Xenopus tropicalis: one gene and its partners. The protein of the gene in region 1 purifies or fractionates together with the protein of each later gene. This does not show direct contact. Links are inferred from orthologs where the notes say so. Each region holds a gene or a part of one and is shown in the gene's direction. Other genes may lie near its edges.

What was found.
Region 2: the proteins of arid1b (region 1) and smarcd2 purify together in Homo sapiens (affinity purification with mass spectrometry; 5 studies listed by BioGRID and IntAct, with this or other methods). This does not show direct contact. The link is inferred for Xenopus tropicalis from reciprocal best matches to the Homo sapiens genes ARID1B and SMARCD2.
Region 3: the proteins of arid1b (region 1) and ss18 purify together in Homo sapiens (affinity purification with mass spectrometry; 4 studies listed by BioGRID and IntAct, counting the BioPlex papers as one, with this or other methods). This does not show direct contact. The link is inferred for Xenopus tropicalis from reciprocal best matches to the Homo sapiens genes ARID1B and SS18.

The regions. Positions count from the first base shown.
Region 1 is NC_030681.2:52,282,071-52,292,437, forward strand, and holds part of arid1b (AT-rich interactive domain-containing protein 1B), read left to right. Parts: intron 1-2,772; coding exon 2,773-2,882; intron 2,883-3,564; coding exon 3,565-3,723; intron 3,724-6,315; coding exon 6,316-6,525; intron 6,526-8,114; coding exon 8,115-8,319; intron 8,320-10,367. UniProt on the Homo sapiens protein: Involved in transcriptional activation and repression of select genes by chromatin remodeling (alteration of DNA-nucleosome topology).
Region 2 is NC_030686.2:15,735,767-15,746,564, reverse strand, and holds the start of smarcd2 (SWI/SNF-related matrix-associated actin-dependent regulator of chromatin subfamily D member 2), read left to right. Parts: upstream 1-3,852; 5' UTR 3,853-3,884; intron 3,885-4,723; 5' UTR 4,724-4,770; coding exon 4,771-4,872; intron 4,873-10,698; coding exon 10,699-10,798. UniProt on the Homo sapiens protein: Involved in transcriptional activation and repression of select genes by chromatin remodeling (alteration of DNA-nucleosome topology).
Region 3 is NC_030682.2:110,342,899-110,353,754, reverse strand, and holds the start of ss18 (protein SSXT), read left to right. Parts: upstream 1-3,904; coding exon 3,905-3,973; intron 3,974-6,972; coding exon 6,973-7,049; intron 7,050-8,579; coding exon 8,580-8,664; intron 8,665-9,662; coding exon 9,663-9,816; intron 9,817-10,856. UniProt on the Homo sapiens protein: Appears to function synergistically with RBM14 as a transcriptional coactivator. Isoform 1 and isoform 2 function in nuclear receptor coactivation. Isoform 1 and isoform 2 function in general transcriptional coactivation.

The DNA.
Region 1 (10,367 bases):
GCTTGCGAGGGGACATGATTACTCTGTACAAGTACATTAGAGGGGATTATAGGCAGTTGGGGGATGTTCTTTTTTCCCATAAAAACAATCAACGCACCAGAGGTCACCCCTTTAGATTAGAGGAACGGAGCTTCCATTTGAAGCAGCGTAGGTGGTTTTTCACGGTGAGGGCAGTGAGGTTGTGGAATGCCCTTCCTAGTGATGTGGTAATGGCAGATTCTGTTAATGCCTTTAAGAGGGGCCTGGATGAGTTCTTGATCAATCAGAATATCCAAGGCTATTGTGATACTAATATCTACAGTTAGTACTAGTGGTTGTATTTATAGTTTATGTATGTGAGTATAGATTGGTAGGTGTGGGTTAGGTGTGCTGGGTTTACTTGGATGGGTTGAACTTGATGGACACAGGTCTTTTTTCAACCCTATGTAACTATGTAACTATGTAACTATGATTACTAGAAAAATGATTAAAAAATAAATAAATTGCTAATTAAAAAGAAAAAACAAAATATTGGAATATTTTTATATTTTCCATGTGCCTGTTGGCAGCCAATGCAAAAACCAGAGTTTAACTAAAGTCCTTTGATCTCCTATTTCTGCCTTTAGCTACTGATCTGCTTTAATTGAAGACTGACTTTGTTTAATTGTTTTCCTTTCTTTTTTGCTAGTTTTGTGATTCTATTTAATGGAAAAATACCTTGTGGCACCTGTTCCACCTGTCCAAATGTAGATCTACTCATGTACCCATGCGAGAATTAGTATAAAATCTGGGTTGTGAATACCATGTCCCATCTTTTGTATTATTTACTTACTGCGTTGTACTGCTGTAAAGTCTTTTCACACATTATTTTTACCGCAGAATAGAGTTGTCACTGTTTTTACAAAATGTTTTTATAAAAAGTGTACATCATTTACTACAGGGTTATGCCTGAATATTTAATGGCAAAGGGGATAATATTCAGTAAGAGCCAGAAAGGAACATGTCATTATTCTCTCTATATGCAGTTTTTAATGTAAATGTCATGCGCACCAATACATCTACAAAATCTAGTGACTCAGTATTTCTACATGATTTTTGACCATGACTGGATTAAATGTTTTTCATGGTAATAGTGTAAAAATGAAAAGCTTTAAGTTGGCTTGAACAGTTAACCACAGAAGCCAAACAAAGTGTAAAAATATAATATCTACCAATAAGCTTTAGATTTTTTTTTTTTTGTAAATGCTTGTTTGCATTTTGTGGCCAAAATCCACTTTGTGTGTGCAGTGATAGGCTGGTTCCACTTCTAACAATTTGCACACACTGGATGCTTTCCGTCTGTTACATAGGACTTTTTCATGAAATGTCATACCTTGACATTGTTAACAGCTGTTTATCAAACAAACAGACTAATTACGAAAGTTCTATAAGGCTGGAATTGGCTGAAGTATTTCCAGCCAATTGGAAACTCATACTGCCCCAACTCAAAATGGAGACTAAAGGTGCAACATAACGGGACCAGCATGATAATGCTGTTCTTCTCTGAGGTGAAGGAGTCAAAAATGGATTAAGGATTAATTTAAAAAAAAAAAAATTGGAATTTTATATCTGTATAACTTTGGTTTAGTGCAACAGACTTTTAAAATGGAAAATGATAAAATAAGTACCACAAATGGAATCATATTAATTTTAGTAATCGTTAAACTGTTTAATTGTAATGTTCATTGTATACTATTTTATTATAATTTGATATATTATATTATTGTAGTCACCAGACAATAGAATGTACATAAGGATAGTTTAGTAGATATGATATCTCACATCAATAAGCTTAAATTGTTTTCCTACCCAGTGAACAGCAAATAATTGTAAATGTACATAGCACAATGGTGTATAGATGGTAATTTGGCAGACATGGGCTCTTCTGAACCTGCAGCGATGCTACAGATATTAACAAATTAGCACTGTACTGCTTGCCAGCTTATTCACAAGAGTCCTGCACATGCTCTCATTGCTGTAATTAAAACTAATTATTTTTAAAAACAAAGAAATACATGAATATGTGCTGTATTACTTTATAGAAGGCAATCTGTGTAGTAATGTTCAATTATTTTTCGATTTGGCTTCCTGAGATGCCTTTTTTCTGATCTGTAAAAAGCTCAAAAGCTTTTGCTCTGTCAATATAGGTATTATCAGCTCATATTGGATAATCCCTGCATTTTTATGTATTTATAATATAAATATATATGTAATAACATGGCAACTTTTAGTTTTTTGAACATTAAATAGAGTGTACTAAAGTCATATCCATATCCCCAACATTCATATGCCTGTGACTTGCCCTGTCAATTGCTGTTCATTGATGAATTGTGCTAAGTATGTTTTCTTTCCAAAGTCCACAGGTTGTTAGCTAATGTGATGCCACAGCACTCATTTGCTGGAGCACCACAATGTGGTAAATTTCCCAACAGTTCTAAGTGTTAATTTACTAGCTTTAGGCACAAAACTGGGCCATTAAACTTAATTGTCAAAAGACATTTACTTACTTGTGCTTAACTATAATAGCATTATGCGATTTGGTGCGTTAGTTAAAGGGCCCAGGGCTCTTTGGTGCAAGGAAGGTTGTGTAAATGCATGCCTGTGTCCTTACAATTTGCCACCTGTTTTTTGGTCAAGTTTATTAAGCATTTATATAGCGCCAATGTTCTCTTGTAGTCTCTTGTATGTTCTCTGTAGTAATTTGTTGAAGCACCACTGAGACCTTATTATTGCTATTCCTTTTTTATTTTTTAGGTCACCTTGGTCTTGTTGACATGATAAATACTGGAGAATCTAAGATGGCATCAACTCTCAAACTTGATGGTAAAGCAGATTCACCTGCTCCACCTGAAACTAAGTCAAAGGTATTTCCAACTGCATGTGGTGTTATGGCCAAGCAGTGTCAGCCATATTGTCTTTCATCGTCTGATTCTAGCCAGCCTTCTTTGGTTTGTTTCCTGCACGCCTCTTCCATCCTATTTGTTTTGCGGGTCTGTACATGTCTATACTCCATAAACCTAAACATTACTAGTCTAAATGCATTTAACTTTAGAGAATACAGTAGAGATATTTGAGCTTGGGGATATCCAGTGTGGGGTTGGGGAAAGACTTTTGTGCCTGGTTTTCAAACTGCAGCCATTTACCCCTTCTTGCCTTCAGTTCAAGCTTCTGTTGTTGGCCGTCTATACAGCACCTCCATCATAGGCATACTTAGTATTTTGCTTTGCGTCTTACATGAGGCATAAGGCGAGTGGCTTTACTTGTTATTGTTTCATTAGGGTGCAGTCCATGCTTAAGCATTTCATGTTTGCTTGAAATAAACATGGTGACCTATTTCCTTTTTACCAAGCAAATGGCAGACTTGCCAAATGCACTAATATCTAACGATCAAATTAACAATTTTGAGTTAATGCATTTTATATGCTTGCCTTTTTACCTGTTTCTCTCCATACATGCAACTATACTGCACTGCCACTTGATTATATTACATTTCAGTAAAGTTTGCCCTATTCTTGTCATATTTTGTTTTGTATTCTTCTACCGCAGGATAGCTACAGTTCACAGGGTAATTCTCAGCCCCCAACCCCAGGCCTCCTGACAGTCCCTTCCCCATTGTCCCCAAGCTCTGCTAGCATCTCCTCCTTTCATGGAGATGAAAGTGATAGCATTAGCAGCCCAGGCTGGCCAAAGACTCCATCAAGCCCTGTAAGTGGCCATGTTATGTTTATTCAATATTTTAAATAGATTTTAATTATTGTTTGCATGCTGTTGGCTAAACAGTAGTTATCTGTTTTGTTATTGTTTTATGTTGTTTTTCTTTAATTTCAATTTATGGCACTTACACTTGTTGCACACCCACTCGTATTCCAAATCTTCCAAATCTACTATGCTTAATGAATCTACATAAGCTGATACCTGTGTTGCGGACTATGTCACAATGGGCTGACCAGAAAACCTAATGTCAAGGTGTACTACTATCGACCTACAAAATGAATAGTGCTAACCAGAACTGACCAGTTGACCGTTTGCTGGAAGTGACATCCTCTAATAGATTTCCATGGAGCTCTGCTATAAATTGTGTGACTCTCCTTAACTTATCAAATTAAATGACACGACGACTATCAACATTAAATGACACAGAGATTCCCAGCATTTAAAGACACAAAAACTTCCAGTATTAAATGACACAGAGACACCCAGAGTTTAAAGACACATAGATGTTGGACAGGCAAATGGTCACTCCCTTCAAAGCTACTTTCCTCCTTGCTGCTGGGTTCTGGACATTCATGGGGGTAAGCTGTACTGTGATTAGAAAAATTTACAGGGGGATTCAAAAGAAGTACACTTAATTTCTGTGAAACAGAGTCATACCAGGACCTTGTAACATGAAGGAAAATGGCAGCTAAAATCCTGCTGCGTGGGCCAGTAAGAAAGGTTTTACTCTCCTCCTGGCATGCAAGTCCAATTCTGCGTGACAGAATACAGTTTTCTTATCTTGCTGGTATGGCGTGCTTGTAGATTTTTGTTTTTTTTAAGATCAAATAACCACTTACTACATAATGACACATTTAATGTGGAGGATTACCAGTATATAAAAATCTAATTAAGTCATGTTGTTTACAAAGCCTATAAAGAAATCTCAGTGTTGTCAGAGCTTAGTGTGCTTATATATGATGGTTCAAAAAAGTTTCCTGGGTCTGCATAAGCAAACATTCTTACCCAGAGCCATGTACAGTTTTTTTTTTATAATTACCTAAGTAATGAATTAAAGAAAAAGGAAATGTAATGTATTATCACCCATATATTGTGCACAGCAGCCCCCCAACCTATGACCTGAGTCAGTAAATGTAATTTTTCCTGCTCTGGTACTGATACATTCTTCTAATCTAATGCTGTTGGTCTGGGAATGCAATGTTCCACTATCTTTCCTGTACTGGTGTGATGGAGGCTGCTGTCTGGACTGCTCATGTGCACCTTAGGAGTGCCTTGTAATGTGCTGAGCATGTCTGTAGCTATGTTCGCTCCAGATAGCTCAGTTCCCTCCCTGAACTGACCTACTAGAGTTTTTCAGACTCTGGCAGCCCATTGGCCTTTCTTGGCAATCTGAAATACATCTTCTAATGTCTTCTTTTACAGCGCTTATAAATGATTTGGGGTGATATCATTCCATAATGTTGCAGAACTGAACAATACTGCAGCATTACCGTATGTTGTTTAGAAAATGTCCAACTTTCTCTACAGACGTGAGACATTTCCAGCCTTTGATTATCTAATTTTCTAAACTGTTTTGCTCCATTTTTCTACTTTAAACTTTCCCACAAGCTGCAGCCTGAAGGAAGAAATCTGACCACACCACCAGAAGAATCTTCTTTTTAAGTGGAGACTTTTAACATTACAGTTTTTCAGAGTTCAATTTGTATCTTGCAAGGTTAATTATTTACTGTAGTAAAAGCACACCTTACCACACAGGATTAAATGAGGAGCTAGTAGTCAGTGATGCAATAGCTTTTTTTTTATAGACAACATTCCAGATTCTTACTTGCTGTACCTTGCTTTTATTATTTTGACCAACTTTACCTAATTTCATAAAAGCACCTGTTTTTTTTAAAGAAATCTTGATATGCTTAATCAGTTGATAGATGATTTTGTATTTGCTTTAAGATTTGTATTCTTTGTTATTTGTTTCTTTATTATGTGGGCAAAGGAATATCTTTACTTTCTGAAAAATATCATCTCAATTTCCTTATTCTTGCATAAAAGTGATCCAGTTACCTAGTCCTGCAGCCTTTACTTACAGGCACCCTCATGCTGTTGATTTGACCCAAAAGATAATCTGATATTTTATCTGTATATCACAACCATCTTTTTTGTGTCTTTCTTATGTTATATATAATTTACATTAAGCACCACAAAGCTTTGCTTGCAAAGGCAAACTTGATAAAATAACGTTTGTACTGTCTGTAGTTATATAAGGTATGCACAGGGTTTTCTGAAGCTATGTAAAACAATTGACCATATGGCATCCATGTAGAACCATTGATGATGATAATTAATTAAATTTTAAAAACAAGAATTGTATAGACAGTGCCAATAACCCTTTCAAACACCATGAATTGCACTTGTAATGAAAATGAAGGTCGTGGTTCAGAAAATTTATAGACCAATTTTTAATGTAATAGGTGAAATATGAATTCATTAACCAGTCTGAGAAACGCCATATTAAGGTGTGTGCCTAGATATTCGTATTAAGTTATCTGCGACTATGTTAATATTCTGTCCCTCTTTTGTATGCTGCAGAAAGCAAGTTCTTCAACAACCACTGGAGAAAAAATCACAAAACTTTATGAATTAGGAAATGAGCCAGAGAGGAAGATGTGGGTGGATCGGTACTTGACCTTCATGGAGGAACGAGGCACTCCTGTTGCAAATCTGCCTGCAGTTGGAAAAAAACCTCTTGACCTTGTCAGGCTGTACTTTTGTGTTAAAGAGATTGGCGGTTTAGCTCAGGTAATACAACTTAATTGATGATTATTGTAATGGCATAATGCTTTGTCTGCCACTTACAGGTATGTGAATTTACCAGTTTCTTAAATCATGGAACAAACTGAATAGGAGAATCACTTGAGGTGTATTAAAATGGTCCACTTAATTTAAACGCCTGTTTTCCAGCTTGTGAGGAATATTTTTTTTCAGAAATATGTATCAACTACATATAGAATACATGAACATAAATATACAAATGTGCACATTCATAATTTACATCACCAATTGCTCATGTGGTTACGCAAAAAGAATACTAGCATCCTACTTTTATAGCATTTTTCTACAATTTACCACGGTTATTGCTGTAAACTCTATGGCACTGTTATTAAGTAATTAATTGTAAGAATTCAGATTCATTTCATATGAGTCTACATTTGGCAGGGGTATTGCTGAGTTGAGAATCTTACCTTAGGCAGTAATGCCCTGCAGGTTTCCAGGGGACACAAAAAAACAGCTCTTCTAGTACAGAGCGGCTCAGGGACCAGAATCACTCTGTTGGCAAACATAAGGGATAATAAAAGTTGTTAACCAAAAAATAATTTGCATAAATAAGAAAAATCCTCATTCCACAATGTAATAAACTTCATTAGACCTCTATTACATTGTGGGATAAATATAAAGGCCTACTTACAGGCAGTGTATCCTTGGTGCAAACAAAATAATCACAATAATTCCCAGGTTCACAAAAGCTATAGTAAATTTGTGCAAAGAAAAAATTTATTTACGCAAAGGAATAATTATTCACGTTGAGAATAATTTCACGTTAATGACATTCCCCATGTCTTCATTTCTGAAAATACTACTGTACCTGCTCTTGTGGCATCCATTTAAATATACTTGTATTCATTTTTACACCGCTAGGTGCTTCACATACATCACGATACTCCAAAATGAATTATTTTACATTATCTCATAATCCCTGAAAAAAAGAAAAAAAAATCAGTGGCTTTGCTGAGAAATTCCCCTGGGTGTCTGTATGAAGTGTTAACCCAGTCATAAGCAGCACAGCAGATCGTTTCCACTACAGAGACATCGGCATCCTGGCACATACACCCTTGGAGCTTTCTGAAAATAAACATATTTTCTTTCCGCATTTACAGCTCCCACAATAATACTAAATTGTGGAATAACACAGTTGCTCTTATTTTTATTGTTTTTTAAATGAGTTCTTAGCAGCAAGGCCTGTTTTAATTGAATCAGGAGCGCGTGAGCGTTTCCATGCTCTTGTACTTTACTGGGATGCAAATTGCTGGCTCCATGCATGTCTCTAATGTAAAGTGCTCAGCATTAGGGGATGCAGCATTCACAAGCCTCAGATGCCTTTTTTTATATTTATTTATTTATTTGCTATCAGCAGGTTCTTTAATAGCTTTATAACTGCAAGTGTGCGGCAGTGCGCCCCCTGAGTGGGAGTAATGAGCGTTAGTTAAAAGAGGCATATTAAGAAAATATAGGGAGATAAACCACAGAATAACCTATATGCTTTCTTCCTTACCCCCTCTGCTGATTACAGAACCATGTGCTTAACCGCAATAATGTTCTTTTTATTGTAGGTTAATAAAAACAAGAAGTGGCGAGAGCTGTCAAGCAATCTGAATGTTGGCACCTCTAGCAGTGCAGCCAGCTCCTTGAAAAAGCAGTACATACAGTATCTGTTTGCCTTTGAATGCAAGATTGAGAGAGGGGAGGAGCCACCTCCAGAGATTTTCAATCCTGGAGAGTCAAAGAAGCAGCCTAAGATTCAGCCGCCATCTCCTGGTAAGCAAAAGGAATGCATCCAGTTCTACCTCAAGTGCCACAGCAGCAGCTGAAATCATGTCCAGTTATAATTCCCATGAAACCTCTACCCACCCCATGACAGGAATATATGGCTGGGCATTTTTTGAAAAACAAAACATTTTTTTAGCAAGAAAACAACAAAAATGTAGTCTGGTTCAGTTATCTTGAGCGTAAAAGCTGTTCATTGTCCCACTTCTTCTCAATTCATGTGTTTTATGGAGGATTTTAGGAATTAATTGGTACAATCAGATGCCAATTAAAGGTCTGTTCAGGGATCCACTGTAAGCAAGGAATTTACTGCATAAATCAGCACAGTTTCTTGATGAAATTGATATGCTAAATGCATCTAAATGATTATGGTTCACTTCAGTGTGAAGTTATTAACATGGATATGGACAACAGACTGATGATCGATTGGATCATGGCGTGGAAGTGCTTTTGCTGTTCCATTTTGTCTTGGGCCATGACCATACCTTTATTTTCATTCCACCACTATCCCTCTAAGCTGTGCTCTTGTTTACACACAAAGTCTGACCTGTGCACTTGTTTACACACAAATTCTGACCTGTGCACACACAACATAATATTGAGCTGACAGAAAATGTTAAATTAAAAAATGAAAAAAAAAAAAAAAATTTCTAAAAAAGCGTGAGCGATAGCTCCTATGTTCTACAGCCTACAAATAGTTTGCCTGAATATGGTTTCATCTATAGTGTGTCATCTTCAGAGCTATGTCTGGCAACCCACACATCGAATGATGCTCATCCTGGTTTGGTGAGTATTTATAAGTTTAAGATTTTAGTGCACTTATAAAAAAAAAAAAAAAGTTATATTTATTCACAATCCTAAAAGGCACATCGCTGAGGGGATGATCAAAAGATAAAACACTTAAAAAGCCTAAAGTACCAATCTAGGACACTAAAGTAAGCAGGGTGTAGCTTCAAGATTATCTATTTCACATTTGCAACCACTTACTTCTGAGAGAGTATTAGTTGTGCACCAACACAGCTTCTACGTACAATGCTACTTTACCTATAATGTAATATGCAACTCAATAGAGCACTCAAAAGTGTGATACTGTATGTTTAAAAAGGTCTACTTATTCATCTCCCACTGCCAAGATATCTGCAGGTTAGGCCTGACCAATTAAACAACAAAGCACAGCACCCTAGCCCCAATTCGCTGCCCCACACCTTTCAGACCCACCCACCTACTGTTAATCCATGTGCCCATGCCTAACCCAGTTCAATTTCAGCAGTGTATAAATGAAGACGAAATCGCGATTTTGCAAGCTGAAATGAATTTGGGAGAGCATTTAAACGGATTCTGTCATGATTTTTATGGTACTATTCATATATTATATATTATTTTTTTTAGTTGTAATATTGGTGTGTAGGCTGAGTCTGAGCTTTCAGAAGGAGCCAGCTCTACACATTAGAACTGCTTTCAGATAACCTTTTGTTTCTTCTATTCCCATGTAACTGGGGGAGCTGCAAGCCGGACTTGGATTTCTTACTATTGAGTGCTGTTCTGATATCTACCACTTTTAGCAATACAGGTGCCAGGGAGCTGCTATCTTGCTACCTTCCTATTGTTCTGCTGATTGGCTGCTGGGGGGAGGGGGTGATATCACTCCAACTTGCAGCTCAGCAGTAAAGTGTGACTGAAATTTATCAGAGCACATCGTTGTGGCACTCTGGGAAATGAAGAATATGGCTAGACTTATGTGAAATTAAAAATAAAAAAATCTTTGTGTTTTTGAAAAACGAATTTCAATGCAGGATTCTGTTGGAGAAGCTCTATTAACTGATGTTTTCCCATGACAGCGATCCTTTAATGCTATTAGACACCACTGCATTTGGAAACCCCACTATGGACACTCAGAAGGCAGGGTGTGACGTAGATGCACAGTTTCTACATTTACTAATTTACAGATCCTCACCGCTTATCTGTATTCCATACAAATGGGTCCATGTCAAAAACCCAGTAAATCTTTCCATTTTTACATTTGCAAAGTTGCCATAGCA
Region 2 (10,798 bases), on another chromosome or scaffold:
AGTTTGGAAGATTTATGTACATCCTATTGTGCTTCTCCACCGGTGTATTAAAGCCAATCTTCTTGCCAATTTGGAGTCCGGGTGCTATTCTCCCCCTATAAATTTCCTTATAACATAAAGTTCAATGTACAGTTCAAGGGTTTTTGTACATGTAATTGCAAATAAAAGCAGCATTTGTCGGTTGGTTATGGCTCCTAAAAACAATATAAGCAAAGCCAGCCTGGATGAGAACTGCTCTGCTACACTGTTTCAGAAAGGGACAGACAGATGCTGCTTTCTATAGCAAAATTACATTGGCAAAGCACTAGTAAAACCTGGGGCCAGGGAATGATCATTTCCGTGTGTCTTTGCCGCTACTAAAAAAGTCATCTTTATAAACAGAGGAAATGGGTGTAAATGGAATTCAGAGTTTTTGCTCTGGAAGAAGACACAGGACCCCCCTAGGCCTGACCCGAGCGTGTATCTTACTGCAGAAGATAAAAGCAGTGTCTGACAATAAAGGGCATTTCTTTGCAAGCTATTCTGTGCCCATGGCAGAATCCATGGCACACACATGAGGCAGTCAGTTTCTCACCTATTTTCATGAAAAGCTCTGTCTATGATCTGAATGAATTACCTAGTGTGGGGGAGGGAGGCTGGGTGCTTAGAATCGCCCCCACCACCACCTCGGAGACCTCTTCTGGTTATTATCAGCGTCTGCAAAACAAAGCAATGTGTCGTTTTGGCTAACACTACTACATTTCCACGTGGGTTGCACTTTTACACAATAGCTGGCTGAGAGGATTGTGCACGCATGGCACACTTGGGTACTGTCACACTGTAACAATGTGATTTGGATTTAAGTAAATGTGTTTGATGTGCAGATAAATCTCTTGTGGGTGCATCACCTTGCACTGTTTTAACAATACCAGGGACTTCACCAATATGGTGGCTGCCCTCACCAGGCTTCTGACCATGAGCTTGAAGACAACAGTGGCACCATAAGTGGCAGTTCCGGGCTCAGTTAGCAGCTTTTCCCCTTTGCATTCAGCCATAGTCCAAGTGTGCAATACAGTCCCCCATGAATGGTGAGCAATATGGCACTACCTTTGAACTAACACAAGTAACTAAATGTAGGACATTCATGCACTGCAGCCTAATAGTGGATAAGCCTCAGTACAGTATGTAGCCCAGTGTCCTAGGATGAAATGTGACTAGAAACAGAGCTAGAGTGCAGATGCCCTCCAGGGCTCACGTTGAGTTTTACAAAAGAAAATTAGATAAGGGATGAGCCCATGTGGGTCTTGGCCTGTAGAATTTCCAACAGCAGGAATGCATGCCTATGGCAGTGACAGATTGCTCACATGAAGCACAGACCCTAAAATGCAGTCTTATTGAGCCACATGACCTTTTAATCCTGAGGACAGAAACATGCTCTGAGTCTGACCCCACTGGCACAGAGCCATACAGTTGAGCAAGACCTTCATTTTCATACAGTTCCCAGGGGGCACCTTCAGCCAGCCATAGATGCTCCAACATCCAAAGGCAGTGGCAGCTGCCTGCAATTGTGGCTGAATAACAGCTGAAAGGTTGCAAATAGCACATTGGTGGTTAATCTGTGTCTGTAAAAGTCACTGTACGAGTTCTTGCACGCAGGCAGGTAAAGGTGTGTTTGTGTGTGCTACAGTGTGGTTACCAGGATTCATTTTGCCAAACCACTTACTTTTTTCTCCTCAGTAAAATATTAACTTAGAGCTTCCTAAAGGCAATATGTAAAGTTACCCAGTATGTAGTGTGATGGGGAATGAGCCCAGAGCAAGGCACATGTCCTACACGCAGTATAATGAGGGGAAACACAAGAGGCATGTAGCCCAGGGGCAGAGGGGGAGGAGGGGCAGGCAGGGCAGGCATGAAAGAAAGAAGAAAAGGAACAGCTCAAAGTCTGCAGAGCACATGGAAGAGCAATTAGGGGATGGAATTCTGTGAATTAGTAAGTAAGAGGGCAGGGAAAGGGAGGAGATAGGGAGAGGGCAAATGGGGGTGGGTAGAAGGCCAGGAAAGAGGAGAAAATGGGTCTGGAATAAATGTGAATGCAGTGTACAAAGTGAGGGTGGAAACAGATTGGAGAGGAATAATAGAAAAGGTGTGAGTGGGCAGTAAAGAATTAACAGAGGGAGGCAGGAGAAGGCTGGCAGAGAATGGGTGGGCATAGGTAGGAAAGGGCAGTATGGGTACAGGTAGGCAGATAAGGAGGGTGGTTGTAAGAAAGTGTATGCAAAGTGGGTGGGAAAAGGAAAGAAAGGCAGGCAGAGAATGTTGGCATTGGAAGGTAGAGAGTACAGCAAGGAGATGGCAGAGTGGGCAGGCACAGATGATGGTAGGAAGGGTCAAGCAGAGAAGGTGGGCATAGGTAGGAAAGGGCAGTATGGGTACAGGTAGGCAGATAAGGAGGGTGGTTGTAAGAAAGTGTATGCAAAGTGGGTGGGAAAAGGAAAGAAAGGCAGGCAGAGAATGTTGGCATTGGAAGGTAGAGAGTACAGCAAGGAGATGGCAGAGTGGGCAGGCACAGGTAGAAGGAGGCAGAGAGAGGATGGGCACAGGTAGGCAAGGCAAGGCAGAGCTAGGGTTGGGGTAGCAGGGTGTGCACATATAGAAAAGGGCAGGGGTGGCACAGGTACAGAGGGGAAGGGCAAAGGGAGTGGAACTGGTAGGAAAAGGCAGAGTGGGCACAAGTAGAGTAGTGCTGACAGAGAAGGTGGCACAGGTAGGACAGGAAGGCAGCGAGGGTGAGTACAGGTAAGGGAGGGCAGGCAGAGAGAGTGAGTGCAGGTAAGAGAGGGCAGGTAGAGAGAGTGAGTGCAGGTAAGAGAGGGCAGGTAGAGAGAGTGAGTGCAGGTAAGAGAGGGCAGGTAGAGTTAGTGCAGGTAAGAGAGGGTGGGTACAGGTGAGAGAGGACAGGCAGAGAGAGTGTGGCTAAGAGAGGGTGGGTAAAGGTGAGAGAGGGCAGGCAGAGACAGTAAGAGAGGGCAGGCAGAGAGAATGAGTGTGGCTAAGAGAGGGTGGGTACAGGTGAGAGAGGGCAGGCAGAGACAGTAAGAGAGGGTGGATACAGGTGAGAGAGGGCAGGCAGAGAGAGGGAGTGCGGGTAAGAGAGGGTGGGTACAGGTGAGAGAGGGTGGGTACAAGTAAGAGAGGGCAGGCAGAGACAGTTAGTGCAGGTGAGAGAGGGCAGGCAGAGAGAGGGAGTGCGGGTAAGAGAGGGTGGGTACAGGTAAGAGAGGGCAGGCAGAGAGAGGGAGTGCGGGTAAGAGAGGGTGGATACAGGTGAGAGAGGGCAGGCAGAGACAGTTAGTGCAGGTAAGAGAGGGTGGATACAGGTGAGAGAGGGCAGGCAGAGACAGTTAGTGCAGGTAAGAGAGGGTGGATACAGGTGAGAGAGGGCAGGCAGAGAGAGGGAGTGCAGGTAAGAGAGGGTGGGTACAAGTAAGAGAGGGCAGGCAAGGAGAGTGAGCACGGGTAAGAGGGGGTGGGTACAGGTAGAGGAGGGCTGGCAAAGACGAAAGAGAAAGGGCAGATGACAAGGGGAGGAGGGGAAGAGAAACAGAGGGAGGAGAGACACAGGAGGAGGGGAGGGGAGGGAAGGCAGTGGGAGGGCAGAGATGAGAAAAGGAGGTTTGTTGCAAAACAGCTCTCTGGAAGTGATGACACCAACAGAAAAACCTTCCAATAACTTCCTATGAGCCGCCCGACAGCAGCAGGAAGGGGAAAGTGCTGAGCGCTCGGTTTGCGCCCCGGGAAACTACAGCCGGAGGATCGCAGCGCAGGGATTGCGCATTGAGAGCAGCTGTACGGGCACAATTATACGGAGAGAGGCTGAACCCCGCTGGGTTTCACTGGGGAATCCGGTTAGTAGTGCTGGACTAGCTGTAGGATAGCGGCTTTGTGCTGTACTTAGCGCCGGGCTTACACGCGTGTTACTGCTACGGGCACACAGGGCTACAGTCTGATAGGCATAGTACTGATACTAACACGAACTCTATAAGCTTGTATAACTGAATAGGGCAACACGTAGAGGATAAATATATACACACAATTTATGTATAAAATGTGCGTGTGTGTATATATATATATATATATATATATATATCAATCCAAATGGTGTCCGCACTCCAAGGCTCAATATTCTGCGGGGTGCATAGCCAAAATTATGTATATACAGAAAATAATCATCTGTGGCCAGCACACCCTTCAATGTTTTATCAAAAATTTATTGAAGATATATCGTTAAAATTGTTTAAAAGTCAAAGTGCAAACAAACTAGCCAACACACACTTTGCGGGGCTGCACAAGTAGCCAACACACACAGCCAAGACTGCACAACTAGCCAACACATGCAGTTCAAGGCTGTGCAACTAGCCAACGCACACTTTGCGGGGCTGCGCAACTAGCCAACGCACGCAGTGCGGGGCTGCGCAACTAGCCAATGCACGCAGTGCGGGGCTGCGCAACTAGCCAACGCACGCAGTGCGGGGCTGCGCAACTAGCCAACGCACGCAGTGCGGGGCTGCGCAACTAGCCAACGCACACAGTGCGGGGCTGCGCAACTAGCCAACGCACGCAGTGCAGGGCTGCGCAACTAGCCAACGCACGCAGTGCAGGGCTGCATAATTAGGAATTCTACATTATATGATTCATTAGGAAGGAGGTTGTTCACACAGAGTATATCCCTCTTGTATATACACAGCATTCCTTCACCTGTGCACAGTAGTGCTGTCTGCTGTTTAACACTCCATGACCTCTCGGGGAGGATTACCTCTACCATCTGGGAGCCCAATGAACATGATGCGGGGACCAAACCCTGGAGCATACAGACCCCCAATGGGGCCTTACCAGGTAACCATTTCCAATAGCAATGTATTGTGCATTTCCATCTTCCCTGTGCTAGATCACTTCATTTAGAATTTAGAACATTGTTTATCCAGTTTTAATTGGGCAGAGTCAGTAGGTCCAAGTTGCTGGGTCTGTTAATAGTGCCTGACTATCACATGCCCGTTTGTAGCATGTGACTAGCAGAATCCAATGGCATGAAAATGATTTACGCCTGAAGCATGATTGTGTTTTATATGCCATAGCTGCATCCAAAGTCAGGCACTAGTGCACAGAACGCTTGCATCTATAGAATTGCACATTGACTGTGCTACTGGCAAGCTGCTACTTCTGGTTTCCAAATCAGACTAAATGCGACTAAATGTTGAGCTGACTGATTTGTGACTTGTGTAGCACACCAGGCCCTTGATCTAATATTTCTAGAGCATTTTTCGGATGCAATTGTGATCTGAAGCAGTCATGTTCAGTTACAGCTCAGGTGACCTATTGAATTGCATCGCAGTTGTACAATCCAAAGGTAAAGTCGTTGGTGTAAATAAAGACTGTGGATGTTTCACTTTCATCCAGTATCTTTCTAAATTCTTTGTGTAATTGTGAAAAATGAGACATAACATCTTCATGTGACAATCAGTGCACATCATTATGGTCCCAGGTAGGCAGGAGGAGAGTATAGATAAGGCCTTGATGGTTGCTAAGCAGGGCCTAGATAATCTAGGATGGCTTGTGTAACCATTCCAAGAATAATATAATAATAGTAATCCTACATTTTATACAATGGTGCATATCATGGTAAACAACTGATCAGTTGATTTAAATCTACTTCACTTTATAATTGTCTTTTCACTGCATGTCACTGTGGTGTGTTCTGGTATCGTTCACTCCTTTTTAATTTTTCATTTTCATACATATTGGTATAGTTCACCAGCAAATGGCATGGTCCGAGTTTGCTGTTGATCAGTGTGGTACAGTTTGGTATAGTTCATCACTGGTTGTTTGGAGTATGGTTGAACTGGTATCATTCACTGCCTTTCAGTGTTGTGCATGCTGGTATAGATCACTTTAGGATGGTCTATTCTGGTAGAGTTCACTGCCTAGGAATGTGGTATGTTCAGGTCTAGTTCAACACCAGTCAGTGTGGTACAACACAGTTAAGTTCACTCTCTGTCAGTGAGGTACATGCAAGTATAGTTCATCACTGGCACCTGATACCATTGGTAGATGTGGTGCATTCTTGTACAGTTCACCATTGGTAGATGTGGTGCATTCTAGTATAGTTCACCATTGGTAGTGTGGTGCATTCTAGTATAGTTCACCATTGGTAGTGTGGTGCATTCTAGTATAGTTCACCATTGGTAGTGTGGTGCATTCTAGTATAGTTCACCATTGGTAGTGTGGGGCATTCTAGAACATGTCCGCACTTCCAAATGTGGTGCATTCTAGAACAGGTCAGCACTGGCAGATGTGGGGCATTCTAGAACATGTCCGCACTTCCAAATGTGGTGCATTCTAGAACAGGTCAGCACTGGCAGATGTGAGGCATTCTAGAACATGTCAGCACTTCCAAATGTGGTGCACTCTAGAACAGTTCACAATTGGTAGATGCGGTGCATTGTAGTACAGGTCACCACTGGCAGATGTGGGGCATTCTACTGACCTCTACTTTTAATTTTAAATTGAATGGCCTTTATGATTGTCAGGTTTTCTCAGTCTCATTTAATTTCAGCCCTTTTAATCTAATTTTAAGATAAAGATCCATAGTGACCTATTAATATGAGGTAATGAGGACCAGAAGTGGCAATCTATAACATAGACTGTGCCTGCTGACCCCTGTCACTGATGGATCCATTGTGAGGGTTAATAATATTATTATTAACATTTATTTATAAAGCGCCAACATATTCCACAGTGCTGTACAATAAGTACCTGAACATTGTAGCCTTAAATATTCATTTCTGCCAGTGGCTACGAGTTAAAAAGGGGGAAATCGTTCATTTCAGGGCTTGTACTTTATGGCCTTATGGCCACAGAAAAGTAAATTTAAATGGTGCCACTTTAGATTCTTTTGAAGAAAAATTAGGACTGTATAAAATAAAGCACATTGGGGTAGGTAGAGTGCCCTGTGCCCTCTCTCATGGAGGCTCCATAGTTCGGCAACAACTTTAGGGCATTCCTGGTCACTCTGGGCAGGGAAACTGTGTTATTCGGCTGCTTTGGCAGGAATGGGGCCTGCAGGTAGGTAACCCACCCTACAACTTCACCACTGACATTGTGGAAAGGGTCACAGTGATTGGCTGCTTAGCCAAGTATCAGGGTCCTTTCAAAGATCTGCCGTGGTTGATGTGTTTTTAACAGCAGTGCTCCGAGGATAGTGGTTATAGAAATGCATAGATCTCACAGCGGCTGCTCTTTGCGACCGTGCTACTTCTTACATCCAGGCTTCACCGTGGCTCCTTCCTCCCTCGCTTTTGTGTTGTTTTTTTCCTGTCTTTACTCTCTCAGCCTCCCCCATTTATCTTGCTCTGTTTACTGCTGTCGCTGCCAAACCACAATCTAAACGGCTCCCTGCAGTACGGATTAAAATGGACCCAACAAGCCAATGGTTGTCTATTCCAGGCATGGCAGGCAGTTGGCTGCTAAACCGCCTAACAGGAAGTTAAAGGGGATGTAAATCCAAAAATAAAAATGTTGCTTAATATAATTTTAAGCAACTTTCCAATATACATTCATTAAAAAAAATGTTTAATGGTTTGAGGCACTTGCAAGGGGACATGATTACTCTGTACAAGTACATTAGAGGGGATTATAGGCAGTTGGGGGATGTTCTTTTTTCCCATAAAAACAATCAGCGCACCAGAGGTCCCCCCTTTAGATTAGAGGAACGGAGCTTCCATTTGAAGCAGCGTAGGGGGTTCCTCACGGTGAGGGCAGTGAGGTTGGGGAATGCCCTTCCTAGAGATGTGGTAATGGCAGATTCTGTTAATGCCTTTAAGAGGGGCCTGGATGAGTTCTTGAACAAGCAGAATATCCAAGGCTATTGTGATACTAATATCTACAGTTAGTACTAGTGGTTGTATATATAGTTTATGTATGTGAGTGTATAGATTGGTAGGTGTGGGTTGTGTGTGCTGGGTTTACTTGGATGGGTTGAACTTGATGGACTCTGGTCTTTTTTCAACCCTATGTAACTATATATGAAAGTTATGTGTATTGTAAATGCTATCAAAAGCACTATCAGTCTGTCCTCTGGTTTTGACTCTGGGGAAAAAATGTAGCAGACATCCATTCTTTTCCAGTTCTGCTAATCAGCTGGCTTGTGCTATATTGTTTCAGGAGTCAGAACCAGCAGTGCAGAGAGTAGATAGATGCCATCACTGTTTAGTGGCTGCAGGGCCGCTGCTGGCCAAATGGGTGCCCTAAGCAGAAATTTACTTTTGTGCCCCCTCCCCCAAATATTACGGAAGTAAAAATAAAATAATAAAAAAAAAAACACCTACTATAGGGGCCCCATACACCGTGCCCCCATAGACAATGCCCCCATAGTAAGTGCCCCCAATTGCCCCCATAGATTGATTGAACTATCCGGGACCGCGGGATGCGCTATAAAAACCGGTGGGACAGTGTTGGGGGGGTATGTTATAATATATAAAAACGATTTTTTTGAGCAGCTGGGATGGTGCCCCCCTGGGAGTTGGTGCCCTATGCAGACTGAGTACTCTGCTTATAGGGAGCGGCGGCCCTGAGTGGCTGCATCCTTCTCTGGACTGTGTTCAACTTTCTCTTCTGACCCCCGTGACCCACTTATGACTGATGAAAAGACAGTTTGGGTGGGACGGGGCAGGAGTTGCTGGAGTATGAAGATAGCATAATGCAAAAGAAATAGCCCGTTCCTCTTTCTGTGTATAGAGCGACTTGTGTGTTTGCAGTCATGCTCGGCAGCACTCCCACATTAGTAACACTGGTGGAACAGCCGTTTCCCAGCATGCACTGCGCAGGCTTGAGGGAGGAAACTTGTCTTTCAGGCTAGGTGAGGCAGTAACTCTGGGCACCTGGAGGGGGTGGGAGAAGCGGGGGATTAAGGTGGAGGGGATACAAAGGGAGGTCTGAATAGGCAGCAGAAAGGTGCAGAGGGGGAGGTGTATGGGCAAACCTCTGTACAAACAACGCCTGTAGGATGTGTATAGTCGCTGATTGGAGAGATTTCCCACAGCTTAGTTAATCATGCCCCAGTATGTACTATCAGTGCAAAATGAATGTCTGAATAAAACTACAACTTCCAGCATCTGCCAACAATGAAACGGCTAGAACAAATGAAATTCTGCCTGTATTAAGTTTTACTCTCCATATGCTCAAAGATTAATTGTGTCCGCTTGGTAAATGCCCAACTGGCAATTTAATCCTATTAAGGTGGCTGCCAACTGGCTATGCCCCTTTGAATAATAGAGTGTTGATTCATTTTACAATCAGGATATAATACCTATTTCTATAGATCGGGTTTCGAGGAGAGTAGAATTGCTGCCATACAAGGGCCACTGGTGCCACCGCGCTGTGACTCACACCCTAGGGGCAGGGCACACTATTACTGAATGTGCCAGGAACTGAGGCAGCTTATCCTTATCTTTATTTCCCTGGCTGCCAGTACCTGCTCTCCTACTGCCCTTAGTCCTAGTATCCCCACCACTACTATAGACACCATTTCTCCCTACTATACCTGCTATCCCACAGCCCCAGTCCCTTCCCAGAGGCTATTATCCCCACTGCTACTATAGGCACTATCTCTCTCTACTATACCTGCTATCCCACAGCCCCAGTCCCTTCCCAGAGGCTATTATCCCCCCACTGCTACTATAGGCACCATCTCTCCCTACTATACCTGCTATCCCACAGCCCCAGTCCCTTCCCAGAGGCTATTATCCCACTGCTACTATAGGCACCATCTCTCCCTATTATACCTGCTATCCCACAGCCACAGTCCCTTCCCAGAGGCTATTATCCCCCACTGCTACTATAGGCACCATCTCTCCCTACTATACCTGCTATCCCACAGCCACAGTCCCTTCCCAGAGGCTATTATCCCACTGCTACTATAGGCACCATCTCTCCCTACTATACCTGCTATCCCACAGCCCCAATCCCTTCCCAGAGGCTATTATCCCACTGCTACTATAGGCACCATCTCTCCCTACTATACCTGCTATCCCACAGCCCCAGTCCCTTCCCAGAGGCTATTATCCCCCACTGCTACTATAGGCACCATCTCTCCCTACTATACCTGCTATCCCACAGCCACAGTCCCTTCCCAGAGGCTATTATCCCACTGCTACTATAGGCACCATCTCTCCCTACTATACCTGCTATCCCACAGCCACAGTCCCTTCCCAGAGGCTATTATCCCCCCACTGTTACTATAGGCACCATCTCTCCCTACTATTCCTGCTATCCCACAGCCACAATGCGTTCCCAGAGGCTATTATCCTTACTGTTGTTACAGTCACCATGTTACAATACTTCTTTTACATGGGGGGGGGGGAGTTTTGGTATACCCCCTTTGTCATATTCATATTTGGTGGGGCACAATTTGTTGTGTTAACCTAGGAATATAAATGGAAACTGTACAGCTTTAATACAGGTTATGCCTGTCTGGATAAGGTGTATTCATAGCTATAGTATGCACATCTATTTACAGCAATTTACCTGTTTCTGTATCTGACTGAGTAGAAATAACCCCTGGAGAGCAATTACAGAAAAGTGCTTTCTGGTACTTTTCCTTTAGAAACATGTATATCCTTACTTATTCCTCATGAGATTTATTCCCTCAAATTTGCTTCTTTCCAGAGACCAGGTATGCTTCCAGGCTCCCGAATGCCAATGCCTGGCATGCATATGGGCTCCCCCATGCTTCCTCCATATGGTGGGGGTTCTCCTATGAGACCTG
Region 3 (10,856 bases), on another chromosome or scaffold:
AGGTTGCAGCAGGGGCCGTAGTTTGAGGATTAACCATAATCCGGCCCCCCCAACAGTCTGAGGGACCATGAACTGTCCCCCTGTTTAAAAAGTTTGAGGACCCCTGGGCTATACTAATCACTGTTGTTGCACTGCTCTTGCAGGGAGGTGTATGGTCACCAGTACCTGGTTTTAGCCCTGGGTGGAGGCACTTAACCTTTCCAAACCCCCCCAAAACTTCCATTTAGTGGAGGCTCTATCCTGTTAGTGCCCCAGTGTGGCGCTGGATATTAGTGCCAAGAAAGGGTAACATACCTCTTTCTCAACAGCAGTTCATTTAATAGGACATGAGCAGAAGATAGTTTTTGCATATTATTTTAATCACCAAAAGTGTATGATTCTTGAGCTAAACAAAGAACTGAAGATACTCCATGTTTGGTCCTTGGATAATGGCGTTTCAGCACAAATTCTATCCATTGAACTCATGGGGGTATTCTGCCCCTTTATGTGTTTGACATTCCAGGGGTTGTTGCTGCTGGTGAAGAACATTATACAGCACCCATCATTGCATCACTATGCATGTTACATAGTTAGGTGCTCACTGGCAATCTGTAGATTCTGGTAAATACCAGAGGGGCCAGAAGATGCCATAGACAGTGTCTATTTCTTGGCCTGTTTTGAATCTCATTCTGAAGCTGTACATTGTACATGAATAAAGAGTACTACCTTGTAGTGTGTGCTATAATCATATATTTGCCAGTGCTTAGGTTTTCAGCTAAACTAATACATGGATAAGCAGATTGTATACAAAGGGTCAGGGCCAGCAATCTTTTACAGTTACCAATTTTATTACTTTTGTGGCAGTCTATGATGGTCAATCTATCAACTCTTTAGTCTGTTAAAGCGGACCTGTCACCTTAAGAAATAATTCCAAAATGTTTTCTATTGTGGTTTTCAAGCAAAATTTACTTACACTATATAAATTATTTTAATCTTAGTTTCTTCAGCCTTGGAGTTCTCAATTGCAGCATGCAGGCAGGGGCCATTTTGTGGACACTGTTATCAAAGCAGGCATTGCATTCTGCCAATATCTGGTTTCTGTGCCAGTATGGAGGGACCTAATGCCCATGTCCATGCACTGGTTACAAAATTACATGGTGAGGAGGGAGGGGGAATGTGAGGGGTGCAGCAACATCTAAGAAGTTCTGAATTGAAAGTGAAAGTAACTGTCTGCCACACCTCTAAGGCATAGAGGCGGGGCAGGCAATATATGACTGACAGCTGGGATTTTTAAATGCTTTTATAATAGGTATGGATGTGGTAATAAAAAAATGATTTTGGGTCTCTTGTTTAATTTGAAAAGGGCTTTTATTATACAGCTTTTTATGTTTGGGTGACAGGTCCACTTTAAGTAAATAAATGGGAGGCAGTGTATGGGGAATTGCAATTTCCAGACAGAAGCTGAGATGCTGGTTACATCTAGGAATTTTGTTGGTTTATTGTAATCATGCTTATAGTGAGTGGTTATAGAAATAAAAAAGCTTAACAGTATGAAATAAAAAATCATTCTGACATTTGGGTTTAGAGAAAAAAGTTCCTGTTATAAATAATGATGCCTCAAATAACTTGTGCATTGCTATCTCTGAACCCTCTTGAAATTCCATCTGTCTGTCTATGCAGTAGGCATGAGTCACACTCAAGTGGAAGACCAATGAAAAAGATCAGTATATATGGTGCTTAGGGCAAGAATAAGATAGCTCTAAATTATACTTTACATGTGTGTTCTCTGTTCTGGTAGGTTTTCAATATCTTTAATAAGGCCACCTTTCCATCCTACACAGAAGCACAATTTAAGTACAGAGTACCATCAGACTCAGTGTCTCAACATCTCTTGACAATATTAAAGATGTTTGTGCCACCCATCCATGTGTCTATCCAATCTGTTCCTGATGGTTCAGGTTAGGTGCCTGACCTAAAGTGAACCTTAAACACAATAGCAAAACAGTTATATAATGGTTCTTGACACAGTGATGATATACAGTCATTATTACAATGTCTGACTTAGGGCCCTTCACCTCTAGTAAATTACACACCCACTGGGTTACTAACGCCAATATATGTCCTCAGTATAGAGTGTTGCTACAGAACCTCATCTTAGATTTCAAGCTCTCAGCATGGATCTGGATGGAGCCTACACACTCCCAGATGTGCAAACACTCCTCTCTGACTCTGCCTGGCACTAGGGACATTCCTACTACGTAAATGCTCCTAGACTGGATCTACATTACATACTGGAGCTACCCTAAACTCTCCCCTCTTCACCAGGGACAACTTAGCTCATCAGATAAGTCCCCTACGCCTCTATCTTTTTAGGAGCGAGTGTTTTTGCTGTCCAGCACTGTGGAATGTGTTGACACTTTATAAATGAGTGCTAATAATACTTTGTCTTAGAGCACTGTGATAGAGGCACTTTGGGGTAACCTAAGTTACAATATTTCTACACTGGCGTTCTTATGAGGTGGCTGTGGCCAATTTTCTGTCCCAGCAGTGATATAATGTAAAATATACAGCACAAACTGACTTCTTACCTTTGTGCATTGTACAAAATTTGTGTTATGTTATTCAGAAAATGATAAAGTATAAAAAAGTTAAAAAGTATATATATATATATATATATATATATATATAACTGAACAGTAGAAAGCACTCACAGCTACAGCATCAATCAGGTCAGTGATTTATTTCAGCATACCATCTACGCGTTTCATCCTGATGACGATCCTGTGGTGATCGAAACGCGTAGATGGTATGCTGAAACTTTCTACTGTTGAGTTTGATGCATTATTTCTGTCAGCACCCAGCCTGTGCCCCATACTGGTGAGTGCCGAATCTTTACAACTCTCTCTCTCTCTACCTCGCATTAACAAAAAAAAAAAAGACGGAAAAGAGACTTTAATACATACTTTATTATAAAACAAACGTTAAACATTGAACGAGAGTATGTAAAGCTGCTGTAACTAACTTGCAGCAAATTCAGGGTTTCTTTGAAAATGCAACTCCCGCCCTCAAAATCGACTTCGCGGTATTGTTTATAGCAGAAAGTCAGCCAATCGCTGATTCCAAGGGGCCAAACACTGCAAGACACGTGTTTATAGCTCATCACGTGTCAATACCTAACTTCTGGGAAGTTCATTCTTCTTCATCATTGAGAAGGGCAAAACCCCTGTATCTCAGTGAGGGTCGCTTCGCTTCAGTTTACACGCCATGTATCATTATAGTTCTGCGAGTTATAATAAGAAAACTATAGCCCACCTTAGTTTCTTTGCAAGCCATACCCGCCAATAGGTAATATGGAATTGACCGATGGGTCGTACCATTATCTCAAACGAGGGGAATGTTATATTAGCTGGTACTTAAAATAGCGATAGCCATTTACTAAGGGTAACATAGACGTTTAACATAACCCCTCAACTGTAACGGTACATGGATATCCTCGCTCGATTGTTTTTAACAACGTACGATTTGGAAGAAACTGTCCATTTCCTGCTTTTCTTTTCGCAAAGGATTATGGTATAAACTTTTGGGCGAGACCTTTCTGTATTTACAGGGGTGTATTGGTAGACTGGGAAGTTATAGCGTTTATTTTATGTCTTCGTTGATTATTCTGTTGTTGTTATTATTAAGAAGTTACACAAGTCTGAGCTTCCCTTAAGGGCCTCTTAGATATATGTTGCCTGTATGGAGTAAATGCTTGCCTGTTTGTTTCCGCACCCCCCCCCCCTAGGATGTTGTTGAGTCGCTTGCTGGAATCTCGCGGTGTGTGAGAGCGGCAGTGGGAAGTCCGTTCCAGATTTCGCCAGTCTTTCCCTTTAGAGACGCTTCGTGCCTACACTTCGCTCCCTTTGTTTTCTTTAGCTCGTGTATCATGTCTGTAGCTTTCGCGGCTCCCAGGCAGCGGGGGAAGGGGGAGATCACTCCTGCGGCCATTCAAAAGGTAACCGCGCCGATATTAAAAAATACGTTCAATGCAACTGCTTAGTCGTGCCCTTCTGCCGGGAGGGAATTCCCCCAACTGCACTGGTGTAGTGCTTTCTAAGGCTGGGGGGCAGTGTACGGGGGTGGGGAGTCCTTACTGTTCTACTTAAATGCTATCGATTAATAAATGGCAAAGTGCCACAAACATATTGTATGTGCCTGGGTTTAACCATAGACAAGGTATCTGGAGCTTTTATCATCAGTTATATTACCAAGGAAGGTCACTGTAGGTGTAAGGACAAAAAAAGGCACATAAACGTGTCAGCAGAGCCAAATTGGTGAGCCATTTTATCTGTACTGTATCTGGGCCACTGGGGATTAACAGCCACCCTAAAGAGGTTCATTAAAGATCATTAAAATCTGTTCTAAGCAACTTTTCAATGTACGTTTGTTACAGTTTTTCAGTGCATTATTCTTCGATGCAAATACTATCGAACACAATATCTCCAATGTCTCCGTACTGTTTGTTCCGACTACTGAAACAAATTAGAAGATGCAGCTAATTAACAGACTTAGAAAAAAAAAAAAGTGCAAGACATTGTTGAAATTGAAATCTAGCTTCTGCAACATTGTATGAGAAATCAGAGCCAGCAGTAAAGATGGCCATGCACGTAGTGAAATGCTTTTCAGTACATTTGGGGGCTTATGGTCCCGACAGATATTTATGTACTGTGGATATTGGTCATTTTGTGTCAGACAGGTTTGGAAATGTATCTGCAAATACAGCATATTACATTACATTAACATTTATTTATAAAGCGCCAACATATTCCGCAGCGCTGTACAATAAGTGGGTTACATACATGGACATACAGAGTAACATATAAAGCAATCAATAACCGATACAAGAGGTGAAGAGGGCCCTGCCCAAAAGAGCTTACAATCTACAAGGAGAAAGGGTTGAGACACAAGCATATCAGCAGGTGCGGGATGTACGTGCTGATGAGGAGGAAAAGTAAAATGGAGTTATGTCCTGAACAGAATAATAGGCTGCCCTAATGTGTTTGGCCCCTTGTATCAGGGGGATACTGTGTTGATTCAACCATGTATGGCTGCTGTAAAAGTGGGAAGAACAGCAAAGGACAGGCTGTTATTGCATTCAGTTGTAATTATTTTTAAGAAATCAGTTTAAAATTATCAATATTTATAATCTGGCTAAAATTCTATTTTAAGTAGGCAAAAGGTTACTTTTGTTTTTTGGCTCCCTTGTTCATAGCTGTTGGTTTTGAACCAGAGTTTTTGTTTGTGACTGGTACTTTGTTTGCATTGACTCCTACAAAATTTCACTCTCATATTGGAATAACACTATTGCACAGGAACCCCTTTATACAGTGTTTGTGTCTGAGTGAGCAGCCATGATGGCTTTTAGCTGTAGGCCCAGGCCATTAAAGGCCACTACACTTCACAGTTCTCCAGGTATATCTGTAAGTACTGTTTCATGTAGTAGATATTCTATGAAGTCGTTGTCACAGAGAAATATGTAAAATAAATATATTCTGATTCTTGTGCTTGGCATTTCATATGATACTGTTAATTTTTAGTTACATTTGTGTTTCTAACTGTACAGGGTAAATATATATATATATATATATATATATATATATATATATATATACATATTTTTCAAGATTATCAAAGCTAAATGGCTATGAATATTTTGGATAGCTTCAAAAATTCTACAGTGCTGTCTCCCCCCTCAGTGCAGCACAATGTACCTTTCTGCCGCATGATTCCTATGGTTGTCCTGTATGTTCCTGCTGAGAGCTTGACATGGCTATACAAGGTTCTGAGAGGCTAGAGACCTTGCTTTTTCATTTATTTTTGTAAAATATAGTGTGCATTGTTGGTGCTATAAAATTAAGCAACGATATGCAGTTAGGTCAGTACTCCAGCATGTAAGAGATTAGCTTTGTCCCTTGCCCATACACATAAGGGGAAACATGCTTTAACTAAGGAAATCATAAGTGGGTTACATTCTTGTGTTTTTGACCACCATAACCTAAGTCTTTCATTGCACAAGAACATGGCAGTGTCACTTTCATTGGTATCACTAATCAAAGGCTGCCAATAGTTCTTATGCACAGGGTTTCTTTATTGGTTCTAAAGCACATTATTTTTAAAGGAGAAGGAAAGGCTAATAAAGAGTTAATCTCAAGCTGCAGGCATACATTCAGTTCTCTAAATAGTGCCCTTAAGTCTCCCCATATTTCACCTGTTAGATGATCAGAAGCCAAACAGGAAGAAAAAACACTGAGCTGTGTAAAGAAAGTTCCCATTATGCCTCACTCCTGCACAGACACCCAGACCAAGTGAACATGCTCAGTTAGTAAGAGTATGAGTGAGCTTCCTGCTGATTGGCTCAGATCCACATTCTTAAGGGAGGAGTGAGTTCTTAGCATACTTGAAGGAGGGGGGAGCAGGAGAGAGGAGACAGCAGAGAGCTGTGTGTCTCTGGCATATGAATTACAGACACAAGAAATCTTTTGACAGAGAAGTCAGTGCAGCATTTCTTTGAGTGCTTATGGCTGTATTTACATAGACCTTTCTGATAAAGCTTACTTAGTTTTTACCTTTCTTTCTCCTTTTAAGTAGATAAATTATGACTCTTTGGCCTATTGCACATTGGGTGTATACTAAGCTAACCCTTTTTTGGCAGTGTATTTTCTGGCGATTAGTATCTGTGAAAAAGTAGCTGCTACTAGAAGCTCCATGTGTCTTCACCCTAAGGGAATTTGCCAGTCACCACTAGTGACATGAATGGAAGGTGAACTAATTGGCATCCAAAAGGTGAACAAAGTGCATCTGGATGTTGGAAGTGTTGAAATGATGCCAAAGCACTATTTAACATTCTCATTTTGACACTAACCTTAATCTTGTATATTAATTTTGTAGTACAGAATGCTTTTTAACTGATCAGTCAGTTATTTTTCAAATTTTTTTTTTTTTTTTAATTTTCAGATGCTGGATGAAAATAACCATCTAATACAATGCATAATGGATTATCAGAACAAAGGAAAAACCTCAGAATGTTCCCAGTATGTATAATATAATTCTCTCTTTCACAGTGTGGCACTAAATTGTTTATACCTATATAGAGGTCTCTGTACTTTGACAGTAGGTTGTTTTTGAAATTTTGTATATGGTTACTAATACTTATAACAATATCATGTTTTCATATACAGGTATAGGACCTGTTATCCAGAATGCTCGGGACCCGGGGCATTCCAGATAAGGGATCTTTCCGTAATTTCGATCTTAATGCCTTATGTCTGCTAAAAAATCATTTAAACGTCATTTAAACCCAATAGGATTGTTTTGCCTTCAATAAGGATTAATTATATCTTAGTTGGGATCAAATACAAGGAACTGTTTTATTATTACAGAGAAAAAGGAAATCATTTTCAAAAATTAGAATTATTTTCTTATAATGGAGTCTATGGGAGATGGCCTTTCCGCAATTCGGAACTTTCTGGATAGCTGGTTTTCGGATAAGGGATCCTGTACCTGTAGTGAGCAGTTAGATGCCAGATGTGAAGAAGGCCATAAATTACAGCTATTACTTAATGTGCCTGGGACATACATATTCAGAAACCAATGGGGTTGCTGAAAAAAAAAAAAAAAAATAATAATAGAGCCCAGTTCATGGGTTTTGCCAGTACTGTCTTTTAGCAGAATTTTCAGCAACCCCAGCTGTTTCTTAATGTCCTGGTAGGATTGTGTATGTATGTCCCAGGCACAACAAGTAACAGCTGCATTTCATGTGCTTTTTCCTATCATATGAGATTAAAGTTTTCTTCACGTCTGGCATCTAATTTTCCATATAAAACAATTGTGTGTTTCTCCTAATACAGTGTATAATCTTCATATTCGTTTTGATGGGTTACTTGCATATATAATTTATTATAACTTATTATCTAGTATCTGTCTGTATGTGTAGGGCAACACTAAATAATTTCTTAAGGCCTAACCATGGTGGTTTTCTTTTGTCTTGTTTTTTTGAGTACAGCTTTACATTTGCTTTGCCTACTGTTGATGGGGTGCTGATATTATTTTTATATTAAGAATTTATATAAGCTTCATCTCAAGGACAGAACATTTATCAATATTATTAATTACAAATTCTGTACTGTTTAAAATCAGTGCTCCCCACAAACCTTCACTCAACGACCTGTCTTGCTATATGCAGGACTTAGCACAAAGTCTGCATGTAGAGCATATTGCTGAGATAGTATGCCAACCATCTTTACACATATGAATAGTCAGGGGGCCATTCGTACTAGGGATGCACCAAATCCAGTATTTTGGGATTTGGCCGAACCCTGGGTTTGGTAGATCCCTACTCACCATACACAGACCGATTAAGAGCTGCCGACAAACTGAGGGCATAGAATGGACATAACATCTGTAAAGCTCAGAATTACAGAAAGTCCCGGGTTCCGAATATTCTTGAAAATATGCATGCTTTATAGTTTTTGAATTGTTATATTCATGGATTGATTGATTTTTAGTTTTTTAAATAAATGGCATTGTAGTTTTTTTCCATATTTTTTTCATTTTTTAAACAGATATCAACAGATGCTGCATACAAACTTAGTATACTTGGCCACAATAGCAGATTCGAATCAGAATACCCAACCTTTATTGTCAGCAGTAAGTATTTTCATTTTGGGCCAGAGGAAAATCTAGTTAAATCTATTTAGTTAAAAATACCTTACCCAGTGCATTCTTGCAAATAGTAAGGTAATAACTCACACTTTCCTAAAAAATAGATGGAATTGTACAGAATGCATTACTAGGGTTCAGACATATTTAATACCATTCTTTAGGGGTAGAACTAGCTAGAGAAAACCATTAAGGAATAAGTAAACCTTTTTTTTTTTCTTCTCAAATTACCCCAGATTAGTGCCCAGAATAGCATCTACCTTCCTGCATTCAGTCTCATTTCATTTTTGCAGCTCATTTAAGCTATTTCCTAGTCTAGCGTGAATTTCTGCCCCCTTTTCTGTTCTGAGCTCTCCTTCTTTCTTTGACTGTGAAGACTTTCACGTGCCTGATTGATTTTCGTTGGAGCAGAGGCAGCAAGCATGCACGTTAGATGCCTCTTAAACCGTCTTCACAGTCAGAGAAGCTGGGGCAAAAAAGAAAAGGGGATGGAGCTTCACGCTGGAGTATGAAGTAGCTGAAAAATAGTATGTTATTTGTGGGCTGCTTAGAGTATTTTTATTGGATTCTAAAATAAAAGGCTTACTTATCCTTTAGAAGAAATAAGATGCATGTTTTTAACACTGCTAAATGCACACATGTAAAGGGCATGCTGTCATACAAGGACTGATTCCTGAGAAAAGACAAGTTCTAGTGTCTTTAGTTTAGTTTGGGCTTTATTTCACATAAGACACTTTATTTAAGTTTATATTTGGGTAGCATGGGCCAATTAATGTGTCCTGAATTAAAACAGTGCAAAAGTGTAGGATTTCAGTTGTAGCTATTTGCATGCGCTATTCTGTTAGCGCATTTATGGTGAGGCATTTATTTTTATTTAGTTTTGGAGAATATAAACTGCTGTGTTAAATACATGACAGAGTGAAGGCAGGAAAATTATATAGTGATTCATATACCAGTATTGATTTTTTTTTTCATCTTTGCTTAAGCTTCCTACACAAAATATGCCTATGGGTCCAGCAGGGATGAATCAGAGTGGCCCTCCACAACCACCACGCGCTCACAACATGCCTTCAGAAGGGATGGTAGGAGGGGGTCCGTCTGCACCGCACATGCAGAACCAGATGAACGGCCAGATGCCTGGTAAGATTTTCTTCTCTAAGGTATTAACACCAAGGTTGCTTAGCAACTGAACGTCGTGAAGGCTCAAGGGATACTAGATTGTTGATGACAAAACTGCCTTGAATACCCTGGAGTGCAAGTTCTCTTACAGTTTGTTAGCTACCGTGCTACGTGACCTGTATTCACTGTTTTATCTTTCTGCCCTTGGGCTTTGATGCGGCTGACACACAGCATTGCTGTGATGAACAGAACTGTCTAAATTTAGTCTGCGTGAAACCACATAGTACAGCTGGCTTTCAAAAGATTTGTGTAGGGAAACTGGCCCTCGGCTCAACAAAAACAAATGCTTTCAAAATGGCAGAGATACACAGCCTGTTTTCCCTTTGTTGTTGCTTTTTGCAACCTTTTGGTGCTAGAATGCAGTTTTATATTTTAATTGGGTTTGGATCAATCATGTAATGAATATAGATTTTGTTTTGATGAATTTTAAAACAAGCATGGTAATGTTATTACCATTACATGTTAATGTCAACATTATTATTTTTTTAAAATGCACGCACTTCCTAACAACTACAATAATAGTTAAATACTATGATTTTATTCACATCATTAAATGGGAAACTCCTTTAAGTAGGTGAAGCCATTATCCTTTCCATTTTACTTGCATGAGACTAAATGGTTCTGATGTGATCTTTTCAATATATTTTGATTTGTTTTTGTCCTTCAATTAGTTTAGAGTCTTTGCCTTGGCATATTTGTAATTGATATTTTTGTTTTTTAAATAGGTTTCAAAATTTGGCTACAAGAACAGACATGCTTAGTGTAGCACACCAAGTTAGTGATTAGCGTGCTCTTATATCTGATCTAGCCAGGCGTTGAGGATTCTGTGTAAACCCAGGCTTGCCTTTATTACCTTTTGAAGATGGGTTTATTTCACTAGGGTTCAAATATTAAGCACAAGCACAGTGGTTGCGCAACATTTGCCACAAACACAACCTCTCTTGCATGAATCGGCATCATTCAGTAAATGTACTCGGATCTAAAGCCAATTTGCACGTTTG